Linked DNA regions of Drosophila melanogaster. The protein of the gene in region 1 purifies or fractionates together with the protein of each later gene. This does not show direct contact. Each region holds a gene or a part of one and is shown in the gene's direction. Other genes may lie near its edges.

What was found.
Region 2: the proteins of Mlc-c (region 1) and CG10194 purify together in Drosophila melanogaster (affinity purification with mass spectrometry, with the first as the bait; one large-scale study listed by BioGRID). This does not show direct contact.
Region 3: the proteins of Mlc-c (region 1) and CtsL3 purify together in Drosophila melanogaster (affinity purification with mass spectrometry, with the first as the bait; one large-scale study listed by BioGRID). This does not show direct contact.
Region 4: the proteins of Mlc-c (region 1) and CG12691 purify together in Drosophila melanogaster (affinity purification with mass spectrometry, with the first as the bait; one large-scale study listed by BioGRID). This does not show direct contact.

The regions. Positions count from the first base shown.
Region 1 is NC_004354.4:5,616,921-5,624,803, reverse strand, and holds Mlc-c (myosin light chain cytoplasmic), read left to right. Parts: upstream 1-4,228; 5' UTR 4,229-4,276; coding exon 4,277-4,325; intron 4,326-4,517; coding exon 4,518-4,930; 3' UTR 4,931-5,668; downstream 5,669-7,883. Other genes in the region: POP1 ribonuclease P/MRP subunit, read right to left, coding at 1-329, 397-2,080; RhoGAP5A (Rho GTPase activating protein at 5A), read left to right, coding at 6,127-6,238, 6,324-6,946, 7,018-7,495, 7,578-7,683, 7,748-7,883.
Region 2 is NT_033779.5:19,486,302-19,494,329, reverse strand, and holds CG10194 (uncharacterized protein), read left to right. Parts: upstream 1-4,225; 5' UTR 4,226-4,258; coding exon 4,259-4,351; intron 4,352-4,410; coding exon 4,411-4,625; intron 4,626-4,687; coding exon 4,688-5,030; intron 5,031-5,117; coding exon 5,118-5,522; 3' UTR 5,523-5,648; downstream 5,649-8,028. Other genes in the region: swm (second mitotic wave missing), read right to left, coding at 1-297, 373-431; Ctu2 (cytosolic thiouridylase subunit 2), read left to right, coding at 1,437-2,654; CG18094 (uncharacterized protein), read right to left, coding at 2,701-3,696, 3,758-3,844; CG13083 (uncharacterized protein), read right to left, coding at 5,799-5,895, 5,953-6,806; CG13084 (uncharacterized protein), read right to left, coding at 7,934-8,028.
Region 3 is NT_033777.3:6,023,043-6,030,843, reverse strand, and holds CtsL3 (cathepsin L3), read left to right. Parts: upstream 1-3,605; 5' UTR 3,606-3,641; coding exon 3,642-4,652; 3' UTR 4,653-5,018; downstream 5,019-7,801.
Region 4 is NC_004354.4:4,262,012-4,268,973, forward strand, and holds CG12691 (uncharacterized protein), read left to right. Parts: upstream 1-4,085; 5' UTR 4,086-4,148; coding exon 4,149-4,601; 3' UTR 4,602-4,658; downstream 4,659-6,962.

The DNA.
Region 1 (7,883 bases):
AATCAGGGCGTTGTCCTTCACATGGCCACGGGATAGCAATTGAAGTTGAATCTGTATGATGGCGTCGTCGGGCAGAGTCTGTGGCAGTGGGCTACGATGTCGAATACTCTCGACAATCTCCTCCAGCTGCTGGCGATGCCGCAGCACATAGAACGATGATCCCTCGCTCGCAGAACTGAATGATGCACGCCAGTCGCGCACTAGATGCCTCCAGGGTGCAGTAAACGGACTGACCACGGCCAACTTTCGGTAATTGGTACGCTTATTGGGCGGCATACGGAAATACCGGGCACGGAGCTCATCCGCCGAAGCAGCAGCTCTTTGAACTCCTAAACAGATGCAAAGTGAGATGATTAAGGGAATATAGAATACGCCAGAGTATAAAACACTTTTTACCCGCTAATGTATCTGGCAGATGTATTTCGGCACCTGCCTCCCTAGCCACCGAATCCAGTTCCCTCAATCCGCCGGGTCTGGCGCCCCACATGGTGAGTGTTAGCCAGAGGGTCATGCCGTATCCTGCCGGTGCAATCACATCCCAGCCGCAGCCGTAGCCCAATCTCTTGTATCTGGGGTCCTGAGATCCTGGTCTTTGAATAAGTATCACGGGAAGCGCCTGCATTTGCTGTTCGAAGGCACATGGAGCTCCTGGCACAACGGCATGTTGTTCTCGCAGCTGGTCGTACTTGTGCGCGGACATAATGCCTTTGGCCAGCCGCTCTCTCGCCTTCTTGCTCCACAGAGGACTCTCCGGCAGACTCTTTGGCTGATTCATGAGAAGATCGCCGGCGGATAATGGTGGCTGTTCCATTTTGCCGACTGCTTTCGTACGCTTCTTGGGCCGCTGCAGGCGCGGATCCACTACAAGGTGGGCCATCACCAGATTGGACAGCAGTTCGGCGGGCGAGCTCAGCTGCAAGGCTGCCTGACAGTAGTTGGCTTTATCCTGGAGCTCCTCTTCTCGATGCGGACGTAAGCTGGCAAAAAGAACTTTTTGGGCTCTAGGCCCTGTCAAACGGAAACGATTAAACTCCCGCTGCAGCAGTACCAAGTGGAGAGTGCCGTCGGAATTGAAGTAGCTAGGCTGTGGATCGAATGCTTTCGTTTTTGTCCAGAAGCGCAGGGGCCTCTGTTCAGGCTTCTTCTTCGAGTTTTTCTTGCCAGGCGATGTTTCCTTGGACAACTCGACTGGCTCAATCTTATCCACATCCATCTTTTCCTCAGTCACAGCCTCGTTTAAAGGCAGCTTTTGTTGCCTTGTGGATTTCAGCTGGAACACGCTTATAAGCTGATTTAGAACAGCTTGAGCGCCACTGGGATGTAGCCACAGCCAGAGCGTGTGATTCGTCTGTTTCTCATCCTCCTCCTCCCGCCGTGGCCGCCACATAAAACTGGCCCGCTGCAGGGCTCCATACGGATAGCGGCCATCCTCAAATAACTCCACGCTGCCCTCACGTCGTCCGCTCAGAAAAGTCCGGGCCGTGATCCCAAGGCCACACTGCGGACTTGTTAGCCGGGCGAATCCCTCGCGTAGCATGTCCAAGGGTCCCCGCAACTCCACGCAACCATAGAACGAGATGTCCTGCAGCAGGCAGTGCTCGGCGCTGGCGCGATAGCAAGCGCGGTAGGTCTTGTCGCAGCTGGCGTAGGGCAACCGGTGGCCCCAGCGGTCAACCATGTGGAATCGCTTCGCGTGCCAGATGTGCGTCTCCAGCCAGACGTGCCGCCTCTGCCGGCGCACGTACTCACGCATCAGATTCTTGGGTCTCCGGCGGTACTTCCTCGATGGTCGTTTCCCATTCACCGGCTGGTTGCCGCTTTTGCCCATTTGGGACTTGTGCGCCTGTCGGTACTTGCGCGGCAGTCGCTTGGGATGGTGCGACATGGCGCGGCGGCGCATGTGCTTGGGCAGCGTCTGGAAGATTAGCTTGCTGCTCCGCTGCGTCGTCTCCTGGCAGTCGGCCACCAAATTGCGAATCTCCTGCAGCGCCTCGGCCGCATAATGGTACGTGGTCACGTGCGACGGCAGTGTGACCCGGCCGCCCAACGCAGCGTCGTACTCCACCTTCTGTGTGCTCATCGGGGACTAACTAATTTGGCCAGGATCCAATGCATCCAAAATCAAAACAAATCGGCGGCACGTGTGGCGGTTTCTTGTGAAACGATCTGGCAGCACTGCTCGATTTCACTAAACTCCCTGCACTCATCGATGTTGTCGCACCTATCGAATTTCGAGTGGCCTATCGATTGCGCCCACTATCGGCGACCACTAACACCAACAACGTTTCAGAATTTGCTTGCGTTTTGTTTCGACGTCGAATTCAATATTCAATATTTCGTGTATTTTGTGTTGTTTTCCCTCAGATAGCTAAAAACAAATCGATATGGTGAGTGCAGGCTGTTTATTGCGGCGCTGTTTACTGTTTACGATCGCACTGGAAGTGCGCTTTCCGGCGCCTTTGGAAGCCAGCACTCAAGTTTCCTTCATTGTTTTCCTTTCTTTCCCCTCTCTCTCTCCCCGCAGGCAGCTTATACCGAGGATCAGTTGGCTGGTGAGTTGAATCGCACGAGGACCAGACGGGGTCAAGTACCAGGAGTCAAAAGTCGGGCAAATCGCATATATATATATATACAGATATATATATGTGTATAGTATTGATATGTGCGCTGGCACCTAGCGCCCTCTCCCTCCCACTCCCACACAGCATTGGAATGCGGGAAAGCGATGGCACGTACATTTGTGTGGTGTGCATGAATCATTGATAAAGCAAATACGCTGGAAGGCAGACGGCAGCCATACGAATACGATCGTGACTCACCTAAAAAGCGGCGAGAAAGTCCCAAAACCGAAACACTGCAATACCCTGTCCAAAATGCTTTAATTAAGAGCAGCTGTAGGCAAAGTTTGACGTGATGACTTCGAAAGACATCCGAGATCAAGCTGACAACACATATCGAAACTGTGCTACTTTTGGGCTTTGATCAGCAGATTATGTTCGTCCAAGGAATAGCTTCATAGAATAGCGACACACGGCTGTGTACCAAGTTTCGCATTAATATCTCTTGATAAATCCGAGTTCTTTCGGTTATCCGAAACCCACACCAAGTTAATTGATAATATGCATAGCAGGCAACAAACTTATTCGACCATCAGCTAGTTAGTTTCTGCCAACAAGCTAGTGCTAGTCTTAAGCTAGTGTAAACCAAGTTTGTAGGTCATCATAAGAGCAGTTATTGTAAGACAGAAACTGGTCGCTTATAATCATAACCAACACCTCGGTATGAGTACAAAAAAAAAAAAAAAACACTGTTTAAGCGAAAGGAAGTGAGCGATAAAATATAGATAACAGAGCGGTCTAATGGGATAATCACCCGGTTTTCTGACTCGCCGGCTGCTCGTTTCAAATAAAACTGCAATTGCAGTTGCAAAAACCGAATAGCCATGCGATAAGAAGCCAGTCAGTTGACAAAAAAAAAAAAAACCAGCTTCCATTTACGGAACATCACCTTCTCTCTAAGTAAAAATGCAACACGATTTCGATTCCATGGCGAATCAAATCGAATCGAATCTTTACGCAATCCCCTCGTTTAACCTAATCAAAGTCAATGGTCTCTGATAATTCCGTCATGCTGGATTCGTGACACTCTGACGTCAGCGTTCAACCGCATATGCCTATGTACGAGCCATATACCATATATTTATTTTCCAATTCCAACTTACCTTGTTGCAATCTTTAGCCAGCCGTCGACGTTTTGTCATTGCCTAAAATGGACAAAAATGTGCTGGATTCGTTTGTTTTTATTGCCATTTTTGGATCTCGTATTCGCATGATAACCGAACACATCCCAGCAATTCATCGAATGGTGAACACTCTAGTGCTCAGATCTTTAGAGGATCTGAAAACAAAATATTGAGCCCAACCACAATGTTCTATTTACGCACGTAGATCGCAGAACTTTTGCAGCTTGGTTAACTTACACCATCACTTGCTTAAATCCAACTGCACGCGAAATGGACTTGCGATGTCACGCCTCGAAACGAAAAACTTTGAAACTTAGGATTTCTGGGTTGTTTATCTTACTTGCAAGCAGGCAGTTCCCGGTAGAGAAACGAAGTTTGCCAGCGACGTGAGGGTATACCATGGCCAAGGAAGGCGGAGTGGTGGCTTGCATCGGAGCCGATCCGATCCGCTTCGATCCGATGGCCAGCCAAATCCGGGCAGGCGGAGTTTCAGGCAGTCAGTAGCTGGCAAAACGGTCATCGGAGTGGTTCAATATGTATTACTATACGGCGCATGTGAAGCAAACCTTTACCACACTGGAAGGTGATCCATTTAGCCATTTAGTGGGTGGTAGAAAGCTATAGTTCCCCCTCACATTTCCATACGTTTATATGTAGTAGTTATGTAGGTATTATATATTATATCCCTTATCGAAGGGTTCTTGTAAGTTGTAACGATAATAATTAAGATTTGTAAAGCATCTGCCAACAATCAGCACGCACTTTCCATTCGCAGAATTCCAGGAGGCCTTCAACCTGTTCGACAACCGCGGAGATGGCAAAATTCAGCTGAGCCAGGTGGGCGAGTGTCTGAGGGCCCTGGGCCAGAACCCCACCGAGTCGGATGTCAAGAAGTGCACCCACCAGCTGAAGCCCGACGAGCGCATCTCGTTCGAGGTGTTCCTGCCCATCTATCAGGCGATCTCCAAGGCCCGCTCGGGCGATACGGCTGATGATTTCATCGAAGGACTGCGTCACTTCGACAAGGACGCCAGCGGTTATATCTCCTCCGCCGAGCTGCGCCACCTGCTGACCACGCTGGGCGAGAAGCTCACCGACGAGGAGGTCGAGCAGCTGCTGGCCAACATGGAGGACCAGCAGGGCAACATCAACTACGAGGAGTTCGTGCGCATGGTCATGAGCGGTTAGGATCAGACCGATTCTAGCTGTTCAACTGTCCAGCGACACGACAATAGAAGCAACGCTATATCCAACACAATACAACACACCAACACTAAACACACCTGCCAAGCTACACATAGATGAGCCGTTCATTCCGCCAGAAGTTCCAACTCCGTGATTCCAACTTAGCCATTCTTACCCCGGCATTAAAGCATTCAAAACCAAGGACAACGACCAAGGATATCGAGATATAACAAATACAGGGGAAAGTGCTTAACACAAGCAGCTAATAACTGAAAACTAAAAACTAAAACTACGAGATTGGAGCTATTCCCACTTCCAAAATTAACCAACGATGTAGACATAGATTCATGATTAACCATAACTAATTACCGCGTCTGTGAATGTGCGTATTATTCTAAAATTGACACTAGAAGGTTAATCAGTAATTATCAACTAGTGCAGTCGTTCTTTTGTACCAATCACACTCGATACATTTATATATATATATATATGAATTACCATAGTATACTTCAATGGAAGGAAGGAAAGCCAGAGTATCACGAAAAAGTATTTCTAAATTAAAGCTGATATGCGTCGGTGGCGTGTGTCCGTATTTAAATGCGCATTTTGAAGTTTTACATGTTTATTTTTTTTTAAATAATTTAATATTTGTATTTAATAAATAATGAAATGAGATCCAATGAATGTGTAGGTCTTTTTACAAAAGAAACGTACTTAAACTATTAAACCAATTGAAACCTTAGCTCTTGTTTTTATTTCTTGTTGAAAGCGGATGGCAATCAAATAAATGGCTGCTTAAAATTACGACTGATGCAAATTTTTGAAATATTTAGGAAACTTAACTGAAATTAAGCAAATTGTTTGTGGTATTTTTTGCGAGCTCTTGTGCTCTGAGCTTTCGGACATTTTTAAACTGATTATTAAGTGAGAACCACTGCATACTACAGTATTTACAAAACAATATAATGTAGTTTAGCTATCAATAAATTCAATAAGCTTACTATAAAGTTTATCTAAAGTTATAGTCATTTAAATTTAGTATTCTTCCGACTTTAATACCGCGCTAATTTTCGCCAGTCTGGCAGCTCTGCTCGCTCGGACAAAATTATTTGTATACTTTACTTAATTGGCTGCATTCCTTAATTATTCGCCGCCTACTTAGTGGCTTTTGACCAAGTGGCCTGCTAATCCGAGGGAGGATGCCCCGGAACACGGAGGCGGGCGCCGGAAATGCGAATACCGGTGGATCCGGCGGAGTAGGCGGTGCCCCCGAGCCCAGTTCTCCGGTTCAGAAGGTTTGGAAGCCGGAATGTGAGTGGAGAAGCACCTCGTATGCCACCCACAAGCTTATGATATGACTAACCATCCCCTTACCCATTTACCCGCCCACGCACAGTGTACAAACTGCAGCTGGAGGCACCGGCTCCATGTCCACTGCGCTGCCAGCGAACACTGCCCCTTCCGCCGGCGAAAAGCACGGCTGAGGCCGTGGAGGCCAATAACTTGGCGGGCAGGCTATACGGCTCCGAGTACCATGGCCTGATGGGCCACCTGGAGGCGGAGCAGCTGCTGGCCAATGCCCGCGACGGCAGCTACTTTGTACGCCGGAGCCCCCAATCCGATGGCTACTACACGCTTAGCCTGCGCTTCAACAAGCGACCCAAGCACTACAAGCTCCTCTATAAGCCCGGCGTGGGACACTATCTGCGCGGCCAGGACAAGCGCTTCGACACGGTGCACGACATGGTCGCCGACGGGCTGATCAACTTTCACATGCAGCTCCACGCCAGTCCCATCATCCAGCAGATTAACCAGCAGACCAAGAACTGCTACCAGCAAAGCCCATACATGACCTTAAATGGCCGGAAACTTAGGGCTCTGTCCAATGAGCTGGGCAAGGCCGCCGCCAAGGAATCGAAGGAATCGCCAGCCGAGGAGAAGGAGCAGAAGCAGGAGGAGCCACCGCCTCCAGCCGTGGATCCCATGCCGCTGGTCTACGAGAAGCCGCATCACTTCAAGGTGTGTGTTCAGACATAAGAAGCCAACTATAAAGGATCATAGCATCTAATGGAAGATTCTGATCCAAACAGGTGCACACGTTTAAGGGGCTCAATTGGTGCGAGTTCTGCGCCAACTTCTTGTGGGGATTCACCGCCCAGGGCGTCAAGTGTGAGGCGTGCGGCTTTGTGGCGCACAGCAAGTGCTCCGAACTGGTGCCGCCCAAGTGTGTGCCGGATCTGAAGCGCATACGCGGCGTATTTGGCACGGATCTGACCACGATGGTGCAGCTGGAGCCCCACCACCAGATACCCTTCGTGGTGCGCCGCTGCGTGGAGGAGGTGGAGGCCCGGGGCATGCTGCAGGAGGGTATCTATCGGGTCTCCGGCTTTGCCGATGAGATCGAGGCACTCAAACTCGCCCTGGATCGCGAGGGCGAGAAGACGGACATGTCGGAGACGGCGTATGGCAATGTGAATGTGATCGCCGGCACACTGAAGCTCTACCTGCGCCTACTGCCCGTGCCGCTCATCACATTCCAGGCGTATCCCAGCTTTATGGCAGCAGGACGTGAGTTTTATGGTGCTATGCTGCACCTCATCCCATGCCATTCACATCTATCTATCTCTCTATCTATTTTGATCTGTTGCAGGCACCGGCAAGCAGGCCGAGCAGCGCCAGCTCATGGCGGAGGCAGTGCGTCGCCTGCCGCCCGCCCACCACAGCTGTCTGCAGTACATGCTGGAGCACCTGAAGCGGTGAGTGTGACTGCCAGCATGGTCAATGCGATCTTAAGTAAAAAAAAAAACCTTCTGCCCGCAGGGTGGCCTCCCACTACGCCGTTAACAAGATGAACGAGCACAATCTGGCCACCGTATTTGCGCCGACCCTGATTGCCACGCCCCAGCACATGACCAACCTGACGGAGGAGATCTTTATGCTCTCCTCGCTCATCACC
Region 2 (8,028 bases), on another chromosome or scaffold:
GCAACCAAAACCGCTTCGATGTCGTCCTGGGGCCCATCAATGACCAGGGCCAGTTCCTGGTCGACTGTTAGCTCAGCGGTGGATGCACTAGAGGCTGTTATTAGAGGGGCAGCAGGGACCGTCAGGTATTCCTCGCTGGCAATGGCATCGAAGAGGCGTTCAACGAAACGTGTCGTCTCCTCGGACAGGAAAACATCGAGCTGTTCGATCATGATCCGCTTAAGGTCTTTATCCGATTTGTCCTTCTTGAGCAGCGCGATGACATATCGCGCCAAGGCCGAGGAGTCCGCATCGCAGCTGTAAGTGGGAGGGTGGTATGTGACGGGGTTAGTTCCAGGGATAGCGATGAAATAGCGGCTTTCAAGAACTTACAGTGGCTCCAGGACCACGCTCAGCCAATCCTTGAGCTTGTCCGAATTCTCCAGAATCATGCTAAGGCGGGTTGTTTCTACTGCTTGCTGCTGCTGCTGTTGTTTTTGTTTTTTGGTTGGGGGCTTCTTGCGTTGGTCTGCGCTAATCTGGGTGGGGGGTTAATCGTGCTCGGGGGGCAAACACGCCCGAAAAATTATTTTTAAGATGACCTCTGTCGCTCTGGCGACTGTGCTCCTGCGATTTGGGTGAACTTCTTACTTCCTGTTACCGCCGTTGCTTCTGCTTTTAATCTCTGAAATTGGATTTCGGCGTTTATTTTACTTTTTGTCGTACTTTTTCCTTCCTTCTTTTAATTGCTTCTTCTTCCCATCTGCTATCGTCAATAAGAAAGTTTCTCGATTTTGCTACCCGATACTTTTTGCTTGCGTACAAGCACGACGCACACACACAGCGCGCACAAACACACAGGCACGCAGAACTCACATACATACGTATTAGCAGCACCCAGTTTTTTGCGCCCAAATTTCTTGGGTTTTTCGAGCCCATTTTTCAACACAAACTCCAAAGACACATACCTCAATGCTTAAATTTAACTTATTATTAAGATTTGTACAACAAATTGTGGTTTGAACAGCTATTTTTATATTTTTCACTGCACTTTTCCTGTTGCAAGGTTGCTTTTGACGAGTCTAGGCTGCGTAGTCGATATATTGCCAGGTATATCGATAGCCTTCGATAACGGAATGCCCTCGAAACAGTGTTGACAGCTATAGACTATACCGTAGCTAAAGGTAATATATGAGTTTAAAATATAAGTTAAAGGTTTACGCTTTTTTAAATTATATTGGATATATTATATTCGATATTATATTATAAGAAAGCGCTAGCTTGCCGTCTAATTTTGACACTAAATATAGATAATCTATATAGATAGATTATAGATAGAAGACATTTGTCTAGAATTCCGCTATTTTGTATCCATTCATTTCACAACGTATTCATCCCTGGTCATTTCGTTTATCTGCGAAATTCTTTTTGTTGTGGATTAGACGTAAATTATTGCCATGTGCAGCATTGGTGAAGATGATTTTGGAGACGAGGGTGCCGCCCACGCCATGGTAGTGGAATCCCTACCATTAGGAATCGTCCTCAGTCCAGGGAATTGCAGCAAATGCGATGTAAACTCCGGCGAGCTCTACAAACTCAACTTCCGAACTGCGGAGTGCCGGGAATGCTTTCTAGCGTATGCGAGGCACAAGTTTCGGGCAGCTCTGGGAGCCGCCAAGATTCTGCCCAGAAACGCCGAGGTGCTTCTTGTCCTGGACGGGTCCGCAGAGTCGCTCGTTCTGCTCGACATGTTGCACTTCGCGCAAACACAGAACACGTTTAAAAGACTCCATTGCAACGCACGTGTGGTCTACGTGGAGGAGCAGCAAGTGCAAGGTCGCGATCCTGTGGACTTGGAAGCTCTGCAGAGATTATCAACACAATACGCACCCTTCGATTTCTATGTGATTGAACTGGGCGCCTTGCCCAGCTCCTTGCAGCGGATCAAGGATTATAGTCCTTTCCTCAACGCAAACAATGAGCTTATCCACAAGCTTCAAAAACTGCGAAGTCTGACAGCTCGCCAGGATTACCTCCAGCAACAGCGCAAGAACCTCATCTGCTCCGTGGCTCAGTGTCTGCAATGTACTCACGTCTTTGAATCTAATATAAGTGTTGACTTAGCCACCCAGCTGCTGACTGCAATAGCGCTAGGTCGTGGCGGTAGTGCCGCCTTGGATGTGGCTCTCCTCGACGATCGGCTGTCTGGAGATGTTAAGCTGCTGCGACCTCTCAAGGACCTAACTGAGCAGGAGATTCAATTTTACATACATGCACAGCGTCTAAAGCCACATTTTCAAAAAGGCTCACGTTATGGGATGGAGCATGGTGAGACTGCCAGCTTACAGAACCTTACATCAGCCTTTGTGGCCAATCTGCAGCAAAACTTCGCCTCCACAGTATCCACAGTGTTCCGAACTGGCGACAAAATAGCTGTCAATTCCAATCCAGAGCAGTCCTCTTGTGTTCACTGTCGATCTACACTGGACTCCGAACTATCCGACACTCTGCTGGCTATTGAGTACTCCAGATCTGTTTCAGAGGCCGGCGTGAGCCTGTACAAAAGCGGACAAGATCTCGAGGGCTTGGCCAAGAAGCGATTGGAGAACAAGGACGGTTTGTGCCACGCATGCCGCGCCATACAGACCGAGTTGGATAGTGGTAACTTGTTGTAGCGCAAGAGGAAATATATATATTTTCTATTAAAACTATATTCTTTTACTACAACTTGGCTAGCTTGTTATTGACAAGAGGCTGCAGTGGCAGATGCCCATCGCAGGGCGGTATATTGGAGGCCAGTACGACCTTGTGGAAGTCGTAGACGATATAGCGATTGTATTGCTTGGACTTTCGATGAAGGTCGTCCACCGATCCCGACAAGATAATTGTTTGTGTACAAGCGCCTGGTTCTTTGGGATAGAGCTCATCACCAGGAAGAACTCCAAACATGCAGTCATCGCAGCGATAGTAGACGGGCTGCACCATTGTGCTTCCATTGCAGCTCCTTTGGCGGGAGAAGTTGAGAAGCTCCTGAAAGCTATAGAAGTTCATCAGACGAGCGATGTCATAGAGCAGCATGAACGGGAGCCAAATAATGGCTTTCTGTGAGCTCGACCAAGCCTCGATCGGACTCAACCAGTGGGCCGAAGCCACCTCGTGCGGTTCCAGAAGCAGCTTTATATTCCTGGTGTACTTATCTAACATGGTGATATAATAAACAGTGTCATATTTCCGATTGGCAGTGGCTGCTGTCCTCCAAATGGACCATTCCTGAAGAGACCAGATATTGGGAATGACTTTATAATGCCGAAAGAGTTCCAGAAACTGTGAGGCATCATTGTGAACCCGATGTTGCCATTCGAAGTGTTCGCTTGACTCGAGAAGCACGGTTCTAGGATGACCCGATTTAGAATCCCATTTTTGTATGTCGTCCTGTTCTGTGCAAATCAAGATGCCCACCTCTTCAAAGGTTTCCCTGAGCGCAGTCAGTCGCAGTGCAATGTCCCTTGAAATATGGTCTCCACCGGATAGAAACTCAGGCCTTGGAGAATCCTGATTGTGCCTACACATTTTTAATTGTTCATCGGTCACCCCAAAGGATTTGAAAAAAGTTATCCATTTCGCAGATTGATCTTCTATAGGATCGAAGACGCCGCCAGGAAAGACGCAATGGTTCAATGCATAGGAAGTTTTTTCAGTTCGTTTAATCAACAATAACTTTAATAAAAGACAATCAGTCAGCAAACGTTTAGAGCTTATAATCTTATACTTAACATACTCTGTAGTCGTAGTCCTCTAAAGAATCCTCTTTGGCGGCTACAATAAGGCTAGCCGAAGGTCTATAAGTTCCAGTTTTAGTAGTCATTATAGTCAATAATCCATTTAATTTCCAAATCCACTTTTTCAAACCTTTGATCTTTGGTCTCAAAGCAATAAGAGCTTGTTGTTAATGCTTTAACGCATTAGTCAAAAGACTCGACCCTCGGATACCTCTGACATTAGGTGAGGGAATGAATTAAAATCCTATATTTCATTGACTTCAGTGATAGAATGTGAAATTTAAATAAGTACTCACATTAATAAATAAACCTAGAAATATTTTATTGGCTTAATAAAATAATTTACTTAAATTAATTTCAGAAGTTCTTTTAATTATAAACTACCCCACCCCACCATCTGACTACAACAGGTGGTGGGTATTTCAAAAGTGTAAACAAAATCAGCTGGTGAGCAATCGATATTACCACCCACTCTATCGATATCGCTGTGTTACCTAAATATGTCGAGGCTTTTGCCCAAAATTCGCTCCTCCTCAAGTTTAATCCTTCTGGCTAAGAACCAAGTTGAAAAGTCCACGTCGTGTGATTACAATGTGAGTTGCAGCTTAACGTTAACTTAGCTTCACCATTCTGACGTAATCTATTCGTCTAGGCCCTCCTCCTTACACGCACGCAGAAGTCCACTTTCATGCCGGAGTCATCCGTGTTTCCTGGCGGAGTTTGCGATGCCTCGGACAGTTCGCCTGCCTGGTTGGAACACTTTCAGAGAAACGAGTTCAGTGCCGCTAAGCTGCGGAACGTGGGCCACGTGAAGGGTCCACGTCCGGATATTTTCCACACCAAGGCAGATAAGAAATCGCTGGATCCGTATGCAACTCAAATAGGTTTTTAGGAAATTGGTGATGTAACATTATTTTCGCACCTAACAGATCCCTAGCTCTGCGGCTGACTGCCATACGAGAAACCTTCGAGGAGTTGGGTATCCTGCTGTGCAGGGACAGCAAATCATTGACCTCCACTAGCGATTATGGAGCGTTCTATGACCAGTTTGACCGCGCCCACTGGCAGCACATCGTCCACAACAATGCCAGCCAGTTCCTGGAGCTCTGCAAGCAGCTGGATGTGCTTCCAGATGTCTGGTCACTTCACGAGTGGTCTGTCTGGCGCACGCCGTCCACGTTTAAGAAGCGCTTCGAGACGGCCTTCTTTATGACTGCCCTGGAACAGGAACCCAGGGTTCACATCGAACCTAATGAGGTCAAGGATTCTGCGGTAGGTGGGTGGGATATTATACGGCACAAGAGCGATACGCGAAACCTTTAAGTTGCATTTAATGTACTATCATTTATATTATTGTAGTGGCGTTCCCCATTGGACTACCTTCAAGCGAGCCTAAGAAAAGAACTCTGGCTGCCGCCTCCACAATTCTATGAACTTTCGCGCTGCCTAAACTTCTCCTCTTTAGATAACCTGCGTCAGTTTGCAGCAGAGCGTGAGGTCAAAGGCATTCAGCTGATTCATCCTGTAGTGCACAAGTGTACAAATGGATTAGTGCATCTCTTGCCAGGAGATGATGCTTACCCCGCCGATCCGGATGCAAGTAACGAAAAAATTGAGATCGATTTGTCAGTCGAGGAATTCCGTTCGAAGACGAATGCTAAATTACATCGATCGGAGCACTGGAACCAGCATCAGTCGCAGCTGATAATTAAGTTTGAGCGGGATGATGGTCAGGTTCATCCATTGGATCCAACAAAATTATAGAGGTAGAGCCGGTTTCCTCTATGTCAGGTGCATTTATCTAGTTTTATAAGTTTTCCAACAATTGATATATAAAGTTGGACATAACACTTTTTAGCAATATACAACTTATAAAGTTCGATTTCCTCCATTTACTCTTGTTTATTACATTGTGTTACAGAACGGTTTAATATACAATTATATAAGATAGATAGAATCGACATGCTGGGATTTGATATAGGAAATCAAGCAATTTCTGAATATGGCATAAAACATCTATCTTCAGTTTTCGTATTAATGCTACTGGCCCTTTCCATACCAAAGTTTGTATAGGTATTCAGCCTCTTCTTGGGATGCATAGACGTTCTCGTATCCTTGATTGCCCTCTGGTTTTGGCCTTAAAATGAAAAGAGTGGTTTTAGTGTGCACCCAGAAGTAGGGCATACAAACTTACTTGTAAATTGGTGCGTGTTCCGGGTGAGTCCAGATCTCGTGGGGCTTCTGGTGTGACGGATTTTTGTGCTTGCAGCCATCCAGCGTCCTTTCAATGTTCTTCTGATTGTTCAGTAGGGCAGCCAGTTTATGATCGACCTGTGAGGTGGCCACCTGCACTCCATGGACAGTGTGCTCGATGCTGTTGAGGCTCTCGGACTGAGTGCGGTTGAGAATGACCAGACCCCACTCCAATTGATTGACTTTGCGATTGGCACGATCTGCCAGAGCCTTAAGTTCGCCCAGATATCCCACTTGACCCACGATGTTGCGCTGCTGCTCCTGGAGGACCTTCGCTTTATTGTCCAAGCCGATGAGTTCCCCTATGACGGCCTGTGATAGCAGCTGCTGAATCTCCGACAGATGCGAGTTGACGGATGAGGCCACTTCATTTAGGTTCTGCTCGTATTTGTTCTGATTGGCAGCCACTTGTTCCAGGGCTTTCCTGATTTCTAGCTCCACTTTGGTAAGATTCCTAATAGAGTTTTCATTCTGACCCTGGATTGCGTTAACAATGGCTGTCAAATTTCCCACTCCAGAGGCCGTGGCTTGGAAGCTGCTTTGAACGTTCGATTCCAGCTTGGCTATGGCAACCTCCAATCCAGCAATGAGTTCGATCTCGTCGCGCTGATGCTTGAACTTCTCTTCAATGCCCTTCTGCACGTCCTTCACTTTCTGCAGCCCATGGTTTAGCTCCTCCGTACCTTTGATCAGCTCCTCCACCTCACTGCGGATCTCATGGATGGAGTCCAGATCCTCAGCTGCAGCCGCGCATAGGTAAATGCATATCGTTAGCAAAGTCAGTCGCACTCTCATGGTGTTTCTCTGATGGCCGCTCCCCGCTGAGTGTCTCTTTTCGATCCGAACCGCAACTTAAGTAGCCCAACTTAAGGTCCAAAACGTGTCTTAGACTGGGTTAAGTTCTATCAGTTCGGTCACCACCCACTTCTCTTCAGCGGGTGCAGGTGCAAATGCTGCTCCAATCTGTAATAGTGTGTTTACGAGAATTTCCCTACTACTAAGAAGATAGTCGCGAACAACTGTTTTATCATCTTGTAAAAAGAAAGAACTAAAGCGAATTATGTTGCATGTAGTCGTACTAAATAGTTATTGGTTCATCGACATCTTGGTAAAGTTAGGGAAAATCCGTGTAGTGTCACGTTTCAAAATTCTTCTTTGTTTCTAAACAGAACAGATTGACCCGGTTTTTTGTGTGCTACGGTAGTAATAACACCACTGAAAAACGTGCCCCAGCTGCTTCTTGTTCAAATTCATTCAGAAAATAGGTCTTCGAAGGTAATGATAACGTAACAAATGTTTTCGGGCATACTGTCTATCGTTTACAAGAAATAAAGTAATAAAGCGAACTAAAGTAATTTTGTAAAAGTTTAATAAGTCTATATTTTGTTTCCTATTTCGAAAACAGCAGTATAATTAATTATCCTTCATATTATCATGCCTATTCAAAAATTGGCCAAGATGCCTTTTGCAAATTTAAACAAACTTGGATCCTTTACTATTAACTTTTAAAAAAGCTTAAAATATTTTTAAAATTTGCTTCTATCAACAAACAATAGCATAGGTTAATAGTAAGGTGAATTTATTTACCTACAAAACATACAAAATAACAAAAATTTCTTCGTATATTTTGAATAGATTTTGAGAAAAGTTTTTGGAAATTGAATGTATATTTTCGCATACGATGCTAAAAGTTGATGCATATGATTTCCATGAAACTATAGCATTTTTTCTCAAAAGTTATTTATTAATTACTTGCTAGGAATATAATCAAAAATGTATTTCCTTTGCTTTTTTTTTATTTATTTATAAAACATAAAAATTGTACAAAGTAATGAATCTGAATTAAAAAAAAAGAGTTTGTTAAATGCTTTGAAAAGTTGTATCAGTTTCAGTAACAGTGGTAGTCCCAGTTAAATCTTCCTTTAGTATCCTTGGGGGAGGGAACTGTCTCCATACCAAATCCTGAAGGATTCTCCTGGCTGGATGGGCTGTGGCTTGTAGATCTCCTCATTGTAAG
Region 3 (7,801 bases), on another chromosome or scaffold:
ATCAAACCCATTTTAATTAAGATGTACAATTAAATGTGCGGTTGTCAATTTAAAAATCACCAATACCTTAGGGTCTGTTGGTAATTGAGAAACTCAATTAAGTGACGTAATTAGAACAGTGTCAAATTCACAGCAACTTAAATTGAAAAACAAAAACAAACCAAATTTAGCTTAAAGTAGATGGCAGATGGCCACTGCTCAAGACATTCAAATGAAATTCATGGGAAATCCTTAAGTTACTTTATTTCTAAGCTCACACTCGCTCAATTGAATTCTGCTTAATTTATACAATTGCATACATGTTTGTGAATTTTTGTTTGCCTTAACATAAATCTTAACAAAGCTAACAGCAATGCCAACAACAAATGCTGCTAACCATTTGTCAATTTTAAATACATTTATTGTATTTGCATGCCTGTCTAGTCCCCACACAGCGAAAGAAAGGCAACAATAATTTAATAACCCACAAAGCGACAGACACACACACGCAAAAATACACACAAACAAATGGACAGACAGACATTCGAGCCAAGTTGCCTTGTTGGCCAACTGCTGTGTCTATGTATTATTCAAATTCAATTATAAAAATGCAATAAATAAAAAAATGCTTATATGCAAAGGAGATAAGAGAGTTAAAGTCGAATAAAGAGAGAAAATTTCACTTGAATATCGAATACTCTGTGGACCATCTTGCAAATAGTAGCGTTGATTACTTTATTACTTGATACTTTACTTGAATAAAATATTTACCCTATACGAAATATTTATTTGTACATTTAATTTACTTTAAAATGGAACTTAAATGGTAAAAAAATAAGTATATGTACGTGTACTTAATATTTTATAAATTTTAAGCACTGGCTAAAAACTTATACACTCTGGTAAAAAAAAAACTGTCAGTTCATTTACTTCTTAAACATCGACTGTTCCACTATTCCCGATAAATTTGACATACCCTTTTTGGGTGGACCCAAAAACGTGCGGCAAATAGCCAGAGAAGCAAAACCGAAAAGGGAATATTTATTATTTGAAAAATACCTTGAGGCCGTGGCAAACGTCGTAAGTTCATAAATAACATGCGGTCCGAAAATGGACAAAATCAAGCGAAAAGTGCAGAGGGCGGCAAACAGAGTTTGATAAGCGATAAGGAGCGGATCCCAGAGGCAGCCATACAAATAATAATATTAGCAATAATAGTAATCAATGTGTAGTGTAAATAATAAATAACAACGGCTCGGTGGGACCCAGAAACGCCAATAAATTGATGAAAGATGATGGGTCGTCGGCCAGGACGGATGGCAGTTCGCTCCTCGACGTCGGATGGCCCCTGAGCGATTAGCCCCGGCACGCAACAGCCCTGAAGAGTGCTTACAAAGGTCAAAGGGAAGCTCGAGTACAAACACACTCGGCGAGAGATAGAAAGGAAGCATAAACAACATAAATTTATTTGCTGTTAGCCTAATGTTATTTATACCTTTCAATTACAATAACAGCGGGACCAGGATCCGGGCCAGTGGGTCGGTGTGTCGTTCTGTCTCTTTCAGAGTAAATAATAAACCATGACCCATCAGCAATCAGCCAGAAAAGAGGACCCCTCCCCCTGCCCCTGCCCCTGCCCCTGCAGCGCACTATCAACCATAATGCGTGCGCATAAATAACTGGGCCATCCCCCGCGAAAGGTGTGAATATTAAGCCAGTGGCAGCGCCAGTGCCCCAAAAATTTACGGTTGCCCGTAAAAGTTCCGCTCCAGTCATAACTCAAATTCATGCCTCCCAGGGGAAAGGGCTAGGCCGCGCTGCCTGCGCATTTGATTTGGCGCCCAACGCGGGGCCAAGAAACACCCGACAAATGAGGCAGCCAACCGCAGCATTATAATTCGCCAAATCTAGGGATGCAAAGCGACATTAGCGCCGTCTCCTGGCAAGATTCTCATCCCCGAAACCTGGTAGATTAATCATTCGGAACACCCTTTTGCGGCGGTCAAAGCCGGCTAAACGGCTTACCCTAAACTTTAAAGATGTTTCGGAATTAATCCTCTAACGGCCTCATATCAGCATGCTTCTAATCGACCTTAACGGGCTAACTCAATTTAAAGCTTCGGTAAGACAGGGCAATACCAGTTTCGCAATACTAGTCATGGAAATACTAGAATGGAAAATTATTTGAAAAAGGAACAAGATAGTTTCTTAAGGGTATGGGAGACATTTATGGTTAGATTACAGGATATTGGGGAAGGGTTGCCACCCCACACATGTTGTTCGCAATTTCGAGCCAGCTTAAAGTAGCCGCTTTCTCCCCATTCGGTTCCATAGGAGTTCTTTATTATCCAGTAGTCGCCCCATTTCGGATGTGTTTCAAAGCCAACTAAAAGAACAGAGTGTTTGAGATCGTAGTTGGTATTTCTACACGAAGGAGTCCTCAAGATGCCACCAAAGTATTGATCGAATTCCTCGTGCAGGTGGTCAATGGACACCTCCACGGGTCCAATTTTGTAGACCACCTTCGCCAATTCCCTTTCATCGTTGCTGGTTAGTGTAACGTATTCCCGCAAGGTGCCTGTACTTTTTCTGCGGTCCCAGCGACACTCTCCATTTTCGGGCTTGTAGGGATAGGACTCTTTGGAGGCAATGCCATAATCCCTCTTGAAGTTAAAGGCCACACTCACCCAACCAGCGTTGCAGCCCTGGTTTGGATAGGGAAAGCAGTCCACCAAGTGCTTGGGCGAAAGGTCACCAACTTTCCGTACTTCTTCGCCAGATGCGCCTCAAGAACACCCGAGGTGGAGAAGGCCCAGGAGCTCAGGCACTCGGTGCCCTGGTTCCCCACTGGCGATATATAGCTGGTTCAAGCCCATCCTGAATCCCGATCTGCCCTGGGAATAGAGTCCGTTGTGATTGGCAACCGCCTGCACTCTCTTTTCGAGTATTCGCCGGTGGTATCGGTCCTCTAGGCCGTAACGCTTCTTGTATCTGGCCTTGTACCGCGCCCACTCCACATCGCTCACCGAGGTCAGTCCGAACTCCACGAAGAGCAGATTGAAAAGTACTTGAAGTACCAGCAACCGAAGGGAGATCATGCCCAATGCAGACTTACAACTGATTGGCAGCTTGAAAAGCACGAGATATGGAGCTGGACGGATGGTTTTTCCATCTTAACTGCTTATAATTTAAATCGATGGAATCGACTATCCGCTACCCTTTACTTAACTATTGCGTGATTCTTGATTAGTTCATATGAGTATATTTATATTATAAAGTTTTTTTTGATGGTCTGATACTTTTAAAATAATATATTAAACAAATTCATTTTGATTACAATGTTTGAAAATGTATTTTATATAGATAAATTTTCAGTAAGTAAACTTAGCAAGCATTATAGCTAATATAATTATAGCTATTAGAAGTAACTTACAACCAGCCTATAACCAGAAACCATATAAATAAATAATATAATTTTATACATAAGCAAAATATTGCATTTTAATCGTAATCTTTTCCAATTTCCCAAAACCAATAAGCAGTTCACATAAATAACCCCAGATAATGCATTCGCAGCCGCCAGGCAAACATAAAGCTCTTGATTTCTAGTTTTTCCAGCTCAAAATCATTTACAAATCTACTTTAAACGCGATCAGTTCGCAATGGGCACGCCTCGTCTGACCGTAGTACACGGTCTAATCCTTCTGCTCCTTGTGGAGCTAGGTTTGACTGCGGTCAGCGATACGGAGTGGGACCAGTACAAGGCTAAGTACAACAAGCAGTACAGGAACAGGGACAAATACCACCGGGCGCTATACGAACAGAGGGTCCTGGCGGTGGAAAGCCACAACCAGCTCTATTTGCAGGGAAAGGTTGCATTCAAGATGGGACTAAACAAGTTCTCCGACACAGATCAGAGAATCCTCTTCAATTATCGCTCGTCGATCCCAGCGCCGCTGGAGACGAGTACCAATGCACTTACGGAGACTGTAAACTACAAGAGGTACGACCAGATCACCGAAGGAATCGACTGGCGGCAGTACGGCTATATATCGCCAGTGGGAGACCAGGGCACCGAGTGCCTGAGCTGCTGGGCCTTCTCCACCTCGGGTGTTCTTGAGGCACATATGGCGAAGAAGTATGGAAATCTGGTTCCCCTTTCACCCAAGCACTTGGTGGACTGTGTTCCCTATCCGAATAACGGCTGCAGCGGTGGTTGGGTGAGCGTGGCCTTTAACTACACCAGGGACCATGGCATCGCCACAAAGGAATCCTATCCGTACGAGCCTGTATCAGGAGAATGCCTGTGGAAAAGCGACAGAAGTGCAGGCACATTGTCGGGCTACGTCACTCTCGGCAACTACGATGAACGGGAACTGGCGGAGGTGGTCTACAACATTGGACCCGTGGCGGTGTCCATTGACCATCTCCACGAGGAATTCGATCAGTACTCCGGTGGAGTCCTCAGTATTCCGGCGTGCAGATCTAAGAGACAGGACCTTACACACTCCGTTCTTTTAGTCGGCTTTGGAACCCATCGGAAGTGGGGAGACTACTGGATAATAAAGAACTCCTATGGAACCGATTGGGGAGAAAGTGGCTACTTAAAGCTAGCTCGGAACGCCAACAACATGTGTGGAGTGGCATCACTTCCCCAATATCCCACTTTTTGAATAAAATCGTAGAGAAATATGATGTCAGTAGGATCATATCTCCCAGTTGAAATAAACGTATTTTATATCGCTTTTGCATTAATGTTTATTCACATTAGCTAAAATTGTAGATTACATAATCATAAGGGTTTCTCGGAAGGGTCAGCACGTCAAATGCGCTTACTGAGAAGCATTTCTACCAAGAAAGCCCAGAGTTTAAGGACTCTGTCAGAGCAACTTGCCTCTTAGATGAAAACGAAAGTTTAACAAAACGAAAGCTTGCTTCGCCAAGCCGAAGCTTTATTTACCCTTTCGACTACTTATTAAAATAATTCTGTATACCGTACAAATAACCGAATAAAAACAAAGTATCATTCTATTATCTTCAATTAACTTTGAAATTATTTGTTGTCAAAAAACTAAAATGAATTATATATAATGAAAGTACTTTTTTGTCATAATATTCCGATGTACATGTCCGATATACTTATTATATACATACTTCCTGCAGTAGAAACAACACTTTGATTGACTTATCCAGATAACTTAACAACTTCATGACTAGCTTGCTTAGATACGGACGGACGAATAAAAGGAGAGACCTGGCTAAATCGTCTTGGCTGTTTATACTTATCCAAAATATATATATGTACTTTATATGATCGCAAACGTTTCCCTTCCCCGTTGCAAGCTTCTGACGGAAATCAATATACCCCCTCCTACAATGGTATATTAATGGGTGAGTGTTCTATTGAAAATCGAACTGAATTCTTATCGCAAATTAATGGCATTGCACTTGCAGTTCCTCGAAGTCAATGTAGATAAGCCCTCTGAACATAATTAAATGGAATATGTGTCTATTTTATATAAGTGTGTTTTGTTTGTATTATATAGGTAGGTATTATTATGCTTTGAACTGGATGGATTATAGCGAAGGTATGAGAATGAAAAGGAACATTCCATAATGTGTTGGCAGGCCTGTTTTATAACCAAACTGTAGGGAAGTAAAGCTTTGATGTAATTACAGATTAGTCAATTCTAAATTTGTCACTAATTGTGGAGTGGGCCCACAAATGCTCCAAAGCCTTCTGACCATTTATTTGTGACTCATTGGTCGAGGAAGGACAGCTGATTGAGCAGCGGATACGTCTGGACAATTGATAAAATGTGTTAAACGCGCAGCAGTGATTGACAAATGACGTCCAGCTTTGTGCATTAGCACGTGTCCAGGACGAGGCAAAATACACCACTCGTACACAGAGAGAAATGCTTTAGAAAGTAAGTTAGTATACTTAATTAGTATAGTGGCTTTAGAGCTGTAAGCATATATATATTATATGTATCACAATTCGTAGCTATTTATAATGGAAAAATATATATATTATATAATTCCACAAAAACCATTAACATTTTTTCCCTGTGCAGCTGAGAATGGGATTGCCAGGTGACTCGAGGCAGCCAGCCAACAAATTGAATTTATGGCCAGGTCTAAGCGTTCAGGGTGTCAGCCTGGTTAGGTCTGATTCATTTGCCAGATATAGCATATAGCCGGGTGAATCGTAGTGTCGGGTGTTGGGTGTAGGTTGTTGGGTGTTCAGGGCTCGGGTGTCGGATGACTGGAGAAGGGGTTCCGGGGGCTGCTGCTCAAGTGCTGCTTTTAATTTCCGACTCAAGCAGTTGGCGATTTGCCGGCCCTGCGGCCTACAAACAATTTCAAGCAATTTGCCTAAAAGTGGGCAACGAAGTGGGCGGAGCAATGGATGGGCTGCCCGAGTTACCACCCCACCCCCTAAACCCCCACGCCTCTAAACAAATCATCGGACACTCAACCGGGAAGACGGCAACTGGAACACCGCATCCGGCCGAATGCTGACATTCCGGCCGAATGCTGACATTACACAAAAGTCGCACTGCAACATTGTCCCCAGCTAGCCAGCCACATGCCGAGTCGGCATGTTCATTATGCTTACAATTAAGAACCTATGTACTTATGTATAAGACGAAAACGGAGGACTCGAGTAGCCACTCTCTGACAATAAACTTCATACTGATTTTGAACTTCAAGAAAGTCAGTCGTATTCTTTATTGGAAATCTTCACACTACAACTATCTGCTGAAACTTAAAAACCTTCATACATTTACACATCATATCTTCACAAAAGGCTCCACCCTCGATCACGGACTTAACTGGCGCAGCCGGTAGGATGTCCTACCTATTAATAATTACCTACCTGTAAGTAAACATGTAAGAAACGAAACAAACTATATGCAAGATGTCGACTGAAAGTGACTAGGAACAAATTTTTATAAAACAAAATTGAAGTTGTGAAGTACCAAATGAAACTCAAACATATATTCAAACACAGGAAAAAAAAAGAGAGAGGAAAAATGTAAAATAAATAAATATACAAAAAAAAAGTGCAAGTGTACCGTACTGCCGCGCTGACGTGGAATCTATCGCTGATCATCACGCCATCGGTATGTCCATACTCTGCCGAACGTCATAATTTTTTTAAAAAAGTGCAAGTGTACCGTACTGCCGCACTGACGTGGAATCTATCGCTGATCATCACGCCATCGGTATGTCCATACTCTGCCGAACGTCATAATTTTTATAAAAAAGTGCAAGTGTACCGTACTGCCGCGCTGACGTGGAATCTATCGCTGATCATCACGCCATCGGTATGTCCATACTCTGCCAAACGTCATAATTTTTATAAAAAAAGTGCAAGTGTACCGTACTGCTGCGCTGACGTGGAATCTATCGCTGATCACCACGCCATCGGTATGTCCATACTCTGCCAAACGTCATAAGTTTTTATAAAAAAAAAAGAGTGCAAGTGTACCGTACTGCCGCGCTGACGTGGAATCTATCGCTGATCATCACGTCATCGGCACTTACATACGCTGGCCAACGCATCGCCAAAGCCTCTATATACACTTATATATGTGAGCATACAATATCAACTACAATCCAATACATCCACGTACTGTACCGCCTCGTTGGCATGGAATCAAACGCTGATCACCATGCCACCGTGGTAAACAAACAAAGCACCAAAGCCTCTCTAATACATTGTACACTCAAAACGCACACTGCCATACGTCGGCGAAAAATCAAAACATAAGCAAAAATCATTTCAAACCAAGCGAGGCTCATTCTGCGTACC
Region 4 (6,962 bases), 1.4 Mb from region 1:
GCTAAAGCTATTAACCACTGTGTTTCTGGTGTCGGCCAGACAGATATTACCAAAATAAACGGCACACATACATGGATAGATAGATAGATAGATAGATAGTAGACGTTGGATAAGCAAAAATGGCTGAGTAATTTATGCAGCTTAGCTTGAATGCATTTACTAAGCTGCCTGTTTTTATTGCAATTTGGGGTCTTTGGAAATTATACTTTGCGTTTTTACGCAATTGATTAATAACCCAAATTTCGATTGCAAACAATACGAACGAAATGTATACAGGAGAAACTCTATCAAAGTACTTCACACGACTAGCGAAATTAGTTTATTGTCCAATTTTCTTATTACCAACTGGCATACAAATGGCTTCAATGGAATTTCTTTGCCGCTTAAAAACGTATGTACAATATGTATCATACATTCAATGTGCATGCAAATAGCACATTTGGGTTGGATGGGCTGTGCCGGAGCATGCGGTGCCAAAGTTTCGCATCGAAACATCTTTAAGCGGCGAAACTTTTCTCATAACATGCGAGCACTCACACACTCACACTCGCACTCACAATAACACTCACGAATATCACACCACCCAGCCGCACACGTCCCACGGCGAAATCTTATCAAACTGACATCATTTTCATTATGTTTTGCACTTGCACAGCTTCGACTAATGTGTGTGTGTGTGTGTGTGTGTGTGTGTGTGTTGTGGCTGTGTCCTTCGAGCTCGAGGTCCCCAGCCCTGAGATGGTAATATGTCCTTCTGCTTCACTTTGTATCTGCTACACTTGGCGAAATAACCAAGCGGCTTGTAAATTCACAGCTAGTATTGTAGTGGGTAAAAGCTACTGCAATTGATTTATGTATATGGCAAGTGTTAGTGAGCCACGTTTCAATTCTGAATGCCGAAGCAACGTTAGAAAAACAGCAAATTTTTTCGAGTGCATTTTGCGTCGAATTATAGGCAATTCGGCACGGAATCTCCGCACACGCGATACGCATTACACACACATGTGCGCGCGCCTTGAGTGCGTGAGTGCTAATCTGGCCCGCCAATAACTGCAAATTAGATTAGCAACGCCTCGAGGGTGGAGCTGGACTCGAACTCGCCGCTCTCTCCTCTCCCCTCAACTGACCGCCCATATATATCCATATCGACATGCAGCCAACAATCCAGCAACTCGAACATCGCGTGTGGCGTTGATAAATCTCGACCAGCAAGAGGACAAGGCGAAACCCCAATGACCAATGCCCAATCCAGAATCCCCGATCCCCACTCAATCCAATCCCAATACAGTCCCCCGGATGCCAATATATATTACGACAGGGGGACCCTGACTGGCCATTTGTTTGGCATCCCATCGCGAGACGAAACTAATAAAAATCATAAAAAGTTTTCCGCTTAGCGTTCCCATTAAGATGCCTGCCCCCTCGAAGATTGTTATTATTATTAGTATTATTTGAGTGTGCCTCAGCTCTGTCCTTGGCTCACTTTCACTTTCACTCTCACTTCTTTCACACGCACTTTCACCTACCCGCGCGATAATGTTGCCACACTGAAAATTAACTTAACTACTTACTAAAGAAGAAAGGCAATTCGGGACGAGCTTTAGGAGCCAACTTTGGGATCGTTTTCACTGGCGAAAACTTGCCGGATGGCGAATAGTATGCGTCACGTTTACGATTCGCTTGTTTTTACAAATATTTACCCACTTACATCACACTCTTACATATTTTGCTTGGTAAAGAAAATTTTGTGGGAAAATTATGTGCGCTCATAAGCTTTAATCGTCCTAAAAAAGGTGGCAAATAGCTGGCAAGAGCGATTCAAAATATGAAAAGAAGCTAGTAGAGTGGAATAGGGATTATCAAAAGATAGTTTTAAACTACAATAATTCTGAACTAAGACATTAAATGCATAAAAGAAATAGTTATGTTACGCTAAGTGGTAAGATAGGCCAACTTCGATGTTATCCTTATCGGGGGGAGAAAATTACCTCCAACAGTCGCCCTTACATCGATAACTCACTGTACTCTTTATTGCCCGTCGCTTTTGAATGGCAAAACTTCCGCTGGTGATGGCGTCGAATGGAATTGCTGACGCCAGTGACGCCGCTTTACCAATGGACAATGTCCAGTTGCCATATAGTACGTAGTACATAGCATATGGGCACATGGCACATGGCACTTATTCACCGACCAGCGGGTAAATGACGCCCAGTCACTTATTCGCATCGCTGGCCAGAAGGAAAAGAGGGCGTAGCGGTATGGGGCCGCTAATCGTAAAATAAATTATTTTCCATGTGTGCGCTGCTCGCCTGATTTCGAGTCATAATTCTTGCATCACTCCTCTCCCCCAAATGGAGCATAAAAGTTTCAGTTAATTGCATGAGTGAGGAGTGCACTGCGAAAAATGCTTGATAATGTGGTAACTGAATATTATCTCTAACAATCCAAACTATTTAACACTAAACTACTATTAAACTCTAAATTGTCTTATTCCATATTACAATTCTTATTTATCTTCGCGATTGAAGTAGTAACGAAGTGCGTGATTTGTTTCCGTGTGATATGATGAGATTTTTGTGGGGGGATAAACTTTTCCAGCCACAACTGGCTGGCTTTAATTGTTACTAGTCGCATTTGGAGCCCGGCCTAATCACTGGCGCCGGATTAGTCAAACTTGCAGCCACTGGACGTGGGTGGTTGGGTGGTTGGGTGGCTGGTTGGCTGGTTGGCTGGTTGGCTCGTTCGGTCGGATGTTGGATGGTTGGGTAGTAGTTGAGTGGTGTCCAAGTGCTGAAATGTGTAGCGCTTGCCAACGCTGTCAGTCATAATTAACACTCAGCTGCAGCTCCAGCTCCAGCTTTGAGTTCAGTTTTAGCTTTGGAGTCGGAGTTTGAATGGGTGGAAAATAATATGAAACCGAAATGGATGTGAAACAAAAGTTAGCTTCGTTCCAACTGCTCAAAGTTGCTAATCAAGCTTGACAGCTGCTAAGGGGAATATGGAGATGGTGATTGGGTTCCAGTATAAGCCAGTCATGTACAGATGCACTGAGAAATATATTTATATATATATCAAATTATTGGCATGTGAAGAGTTCAATTTATAAATTATAAAACCAAAAGTTACATACAAAATTTTAATTATATATATATGAAAGCATTTAAAACTTAATGCCAGCTTAACCAAGCTTCACTGTGTATCTCGTACCTGCTGCCGACAGCTTTCGCAGCATTCGATGGTGTAATTAAGAATGCAACGCACTTTGAGATACATAGCGCTGGTGAACAGCGGTTTTGCGGATGGTAAACTCATTAGCCACCCCTCGCGGCCAGATAAATGCGATTTTGCAATCGCGGAGATTTCAATCGGGTTGTGGTTATTGTGTTATGCCTCGCGTGCCCAACCATCCAATCCATATCCAGCCATCCATTTCACTAAAAATGTTCTGCTATCTTAAATTCCGAGCGACACGTGCCAGACACAACTACAATAACAACAAATTACACTAACAATGTTGCGAAGGGCGCTGCACAACCCCCCTCCCCCACCCCCTCCGGATGCCATGCAAATTTGAAGCGCCTGTCGCAGTTCCTTCTTTGTGTCTATGGCGTCATCGGCTCTACTTGGAGTCCCCCGCATTTGTACTTGATTACCCATACACATACACTTTCCCCCAGCATCCGCATCCGCATCCGCAGCAGGAGCAGCAGTAGCAACTTTAACTGTAAATCGATATTCAGACTGTCTGCCTGTCTGCCCCCTGCCAACAATCTTATCCTGCCCACCAAACTCTGACTAACTTACTGTCTCGACGCCAAAGTCGGTGGTTGCGACTTAAAGATACTTGATGCCTATGCTTATTAGTATGGAAACTCTACTCACAGTTCAGTAGTGGAAATGTGGAATATTTAGGGTTTAACGCTAAGTATGCATTTTAATGAATATTTTTGCAATTTACAATAAATAGCAAACAAAGTTCTATTTACCCAAGAGTTCTCTCTGTAATTAAAAATGCGACTCTAAAGTTAAGCTTTCCATTACTTCTCTGATAAGAAAGATTGATATAGCAGTCGTAGATTTATCTGTCACATCAACAGTTACATATTTTAGGCAGGAACTGTCTCCGCACAGAGCCCACAGATCGCAGGATGTTGCACAGCAGCTACAATCGCGCACCGCGCCGCAAACTCATTCCGAATTTGTTTAGCAACATCCTACAGGTGATCGCCGATGCCGACCATCCGCTCACCGAACCCGAGATCATGGACGCGGTCGCCGATCGGTTGGATCGCAGCGACGAGGAGCTGAAGCGCCAGATCACAGTAAGCCTCCACGACGCCCTAATCTACGGCTATCTGCGAGTGAAGAACTATCGTTACTCGATAGTGCCCAGTCGCCTGGATCCGGACGAACATCGCGATCATAACGAGCCCAGTTCCTCCATCACCGCCGCCCCGGAACATAGTCGGCTGCAGGAGAGGATCTCGAGTGGAACCAGTGCTGCCATGGTTGACAACCAGGGTCGCGATGAAGAACTCACACCAAAAAGCACTCAGGCGCTAAAGAGGTTAAATGCTGAGCCGCAAGGGCAAACTAATTGATAGAAGAAAATTTCAAATGTAAACTTTTAATAAATTGAATTAAAATCAAATAAAACCAACTTAAGTGAATATAATTACACATTAAGTGCTAGTATAATGTATATAAGACAGATTTCTTTCTGAGCTAAATCCATTTGAGACTATAAAGAACACAGTAACGAGCAAATCAACTTACTGTAGGTAATAATTCCTGCGAGTAATCCCCAATTAGTTTCGCAGATCCTTTGGCAGGTAAGATAAGCCCACACACGACGCAGGATGGCCGCTTGGCCTGATGGCCTGATGGTCGGTGCGGTCCGCAAAGTCCACTCCTTCCAGCTGATCGACGTGCGGCGAAGGCAATCCCTGAATCCCAGGCGACTTGTGTGTCAGCTGCATTGGGGCCCCACTGCCTCCCCTCGACCGGTTGCCAGCAGCTAAACGGGCTAATTGAAATGCAACTCGAAGGCAGAGTGGCCGATGTCCAAGACTCCACCCGACCCCTCTGAGGTGTGATGCTGGCATTTGAGAGCCTTGAGCTTGCGGTCATATCAACAAGGATACGTTGACTAAGACGGGCGACCTCAATCGCGTCCTTTGTGTTTGATGTGGTGTCAGCTTCGGGCGCAAATCATTTACTTTCGCCTGTCCCACCTGCAGTATATACCAATGTATATATGTATGTGCAGTACATATGTGTGAATGCTTCATTTCGGTTTGATTAGCGATGGCAAAAATAGACTCTAATAGATAAAATATATCATTATCTAACAGTATTATATGTGATTTTAGTGATAACCGCTTTAGCTTTTTCAAATCTATGTTGAAAATCTATCTTATCAGCGTGCATTGCTGTTTCGCCATCCCTAGCAGAATGTGCGAAGCTATTAGTTCCTCACTGAATAAGCGATTGTGTGCGGGCAACTGTTTGAGTTCACTGATTGTTGCGACACCGACTAGCATTTAAAGGGTCCAAACAGAATGCGGCCATGGTCCGTGCCATCCCCATTAATTCCACACCCTCGAGGGAGGCGGAAGTCACTGCGCTTGGGGTTTAGTCACGCTTATGTCCTTGGCCTTACGTCTCCGTCCCACACACACATCCCCCCTCCCCCCCTCCTCATTTGTGATAATACCTGTTTGGTCTTTGGGAGCTCGGAGCTTCAAGAGGTCCTAGGTACCTAGCACCGACTACGTTGTTTTCACGCCCGTTGAACGGGGCAAGCGAGCGTGAGGCGAGCACATTACAATGATGCAGCACCACCAACTCTTTCTCCACAGCCAACCAAACCCCCCCCCCCCCCCCCACCAATCACTAGGGCAACTCATTTAGTATCTTGTGTGTGTGTGTGTGTGTGTGCAGAATACTGCGCACTCTGGACCCAGTGTTTAGTCCAGTCAACTGGCTTTACTCAGCTAAATTAGATTTTGTGGTGCGTAATTTGAAAATTGTGAAATTACCCAACACTGCGGAGTCGAGTCAAAATGGAGAAGTGACGCGGCACATTAACACCCAACCATGCCAACTGCGTTTTCTTTGAGGGTCGCTCACTAATGTCGGATTATCCGCTTTGAGCCTTTTTAAGAGCACCCAAAAACACACGAAATTAGTGCAATCCAATTGCCAGAGCCCCAAAATGGGAAAGAGCAACCCTTGAGCAAGATTGGCCATAATTCAAGAACAAAATCCAATTCTTGTGATTTTCGCACCTCATCACAATGTCTAAAAACAGGCCCGGGGCGCTCCCCTTATTCGTTTGCTTAACGCATAACTTTTGGGCCCTCGGTGGCATATTGTTTTACATGTTGCTCCTTTGGATAAACGGATTCGGCTTGTTTTGGCCTGCGGAAAAGTCGTCCTTTTTGGGTCGAAAGCGACCCAAGCGAAAAACTGGAACCCAAAAATTGTTATGTTGTTGAGGTTTTCCGTTTATTCCATTATTTATGTACTGCACACGCTTAGGCTAAGGCCTTTCCTTTGTTTGGGAACAGAAGTAGTACAACATATTTTTTAGAAAGTAATATTAACAAATAAATTCATTAGCAAGCACAGTAGGCAGCGATTTTACCGTCTACGTTACTTGACGTAGGGCCTTTTCTAGGTATACATAACACATACACCCTCCATTCGATCGGCAAAATTTATCTTTCGGCAACATACTAAAAACTGTTGTAAATTATCGTATCTGTATCGTGTTCTTCTGTTGGATTATTGGTCCCAAGTGTGTAGACGACTGCCCGTTCTCCGGTTTTCCTCCAGACCGTAATAAGATAACCGCAGAAAAGTCCAACGAAGCAGCTCAACAAAAATTCTAAATATAATACCGAGAATAATCATCAACCATCAAATACATCAGTCCACTAGCCGAATTAGCAAGCACT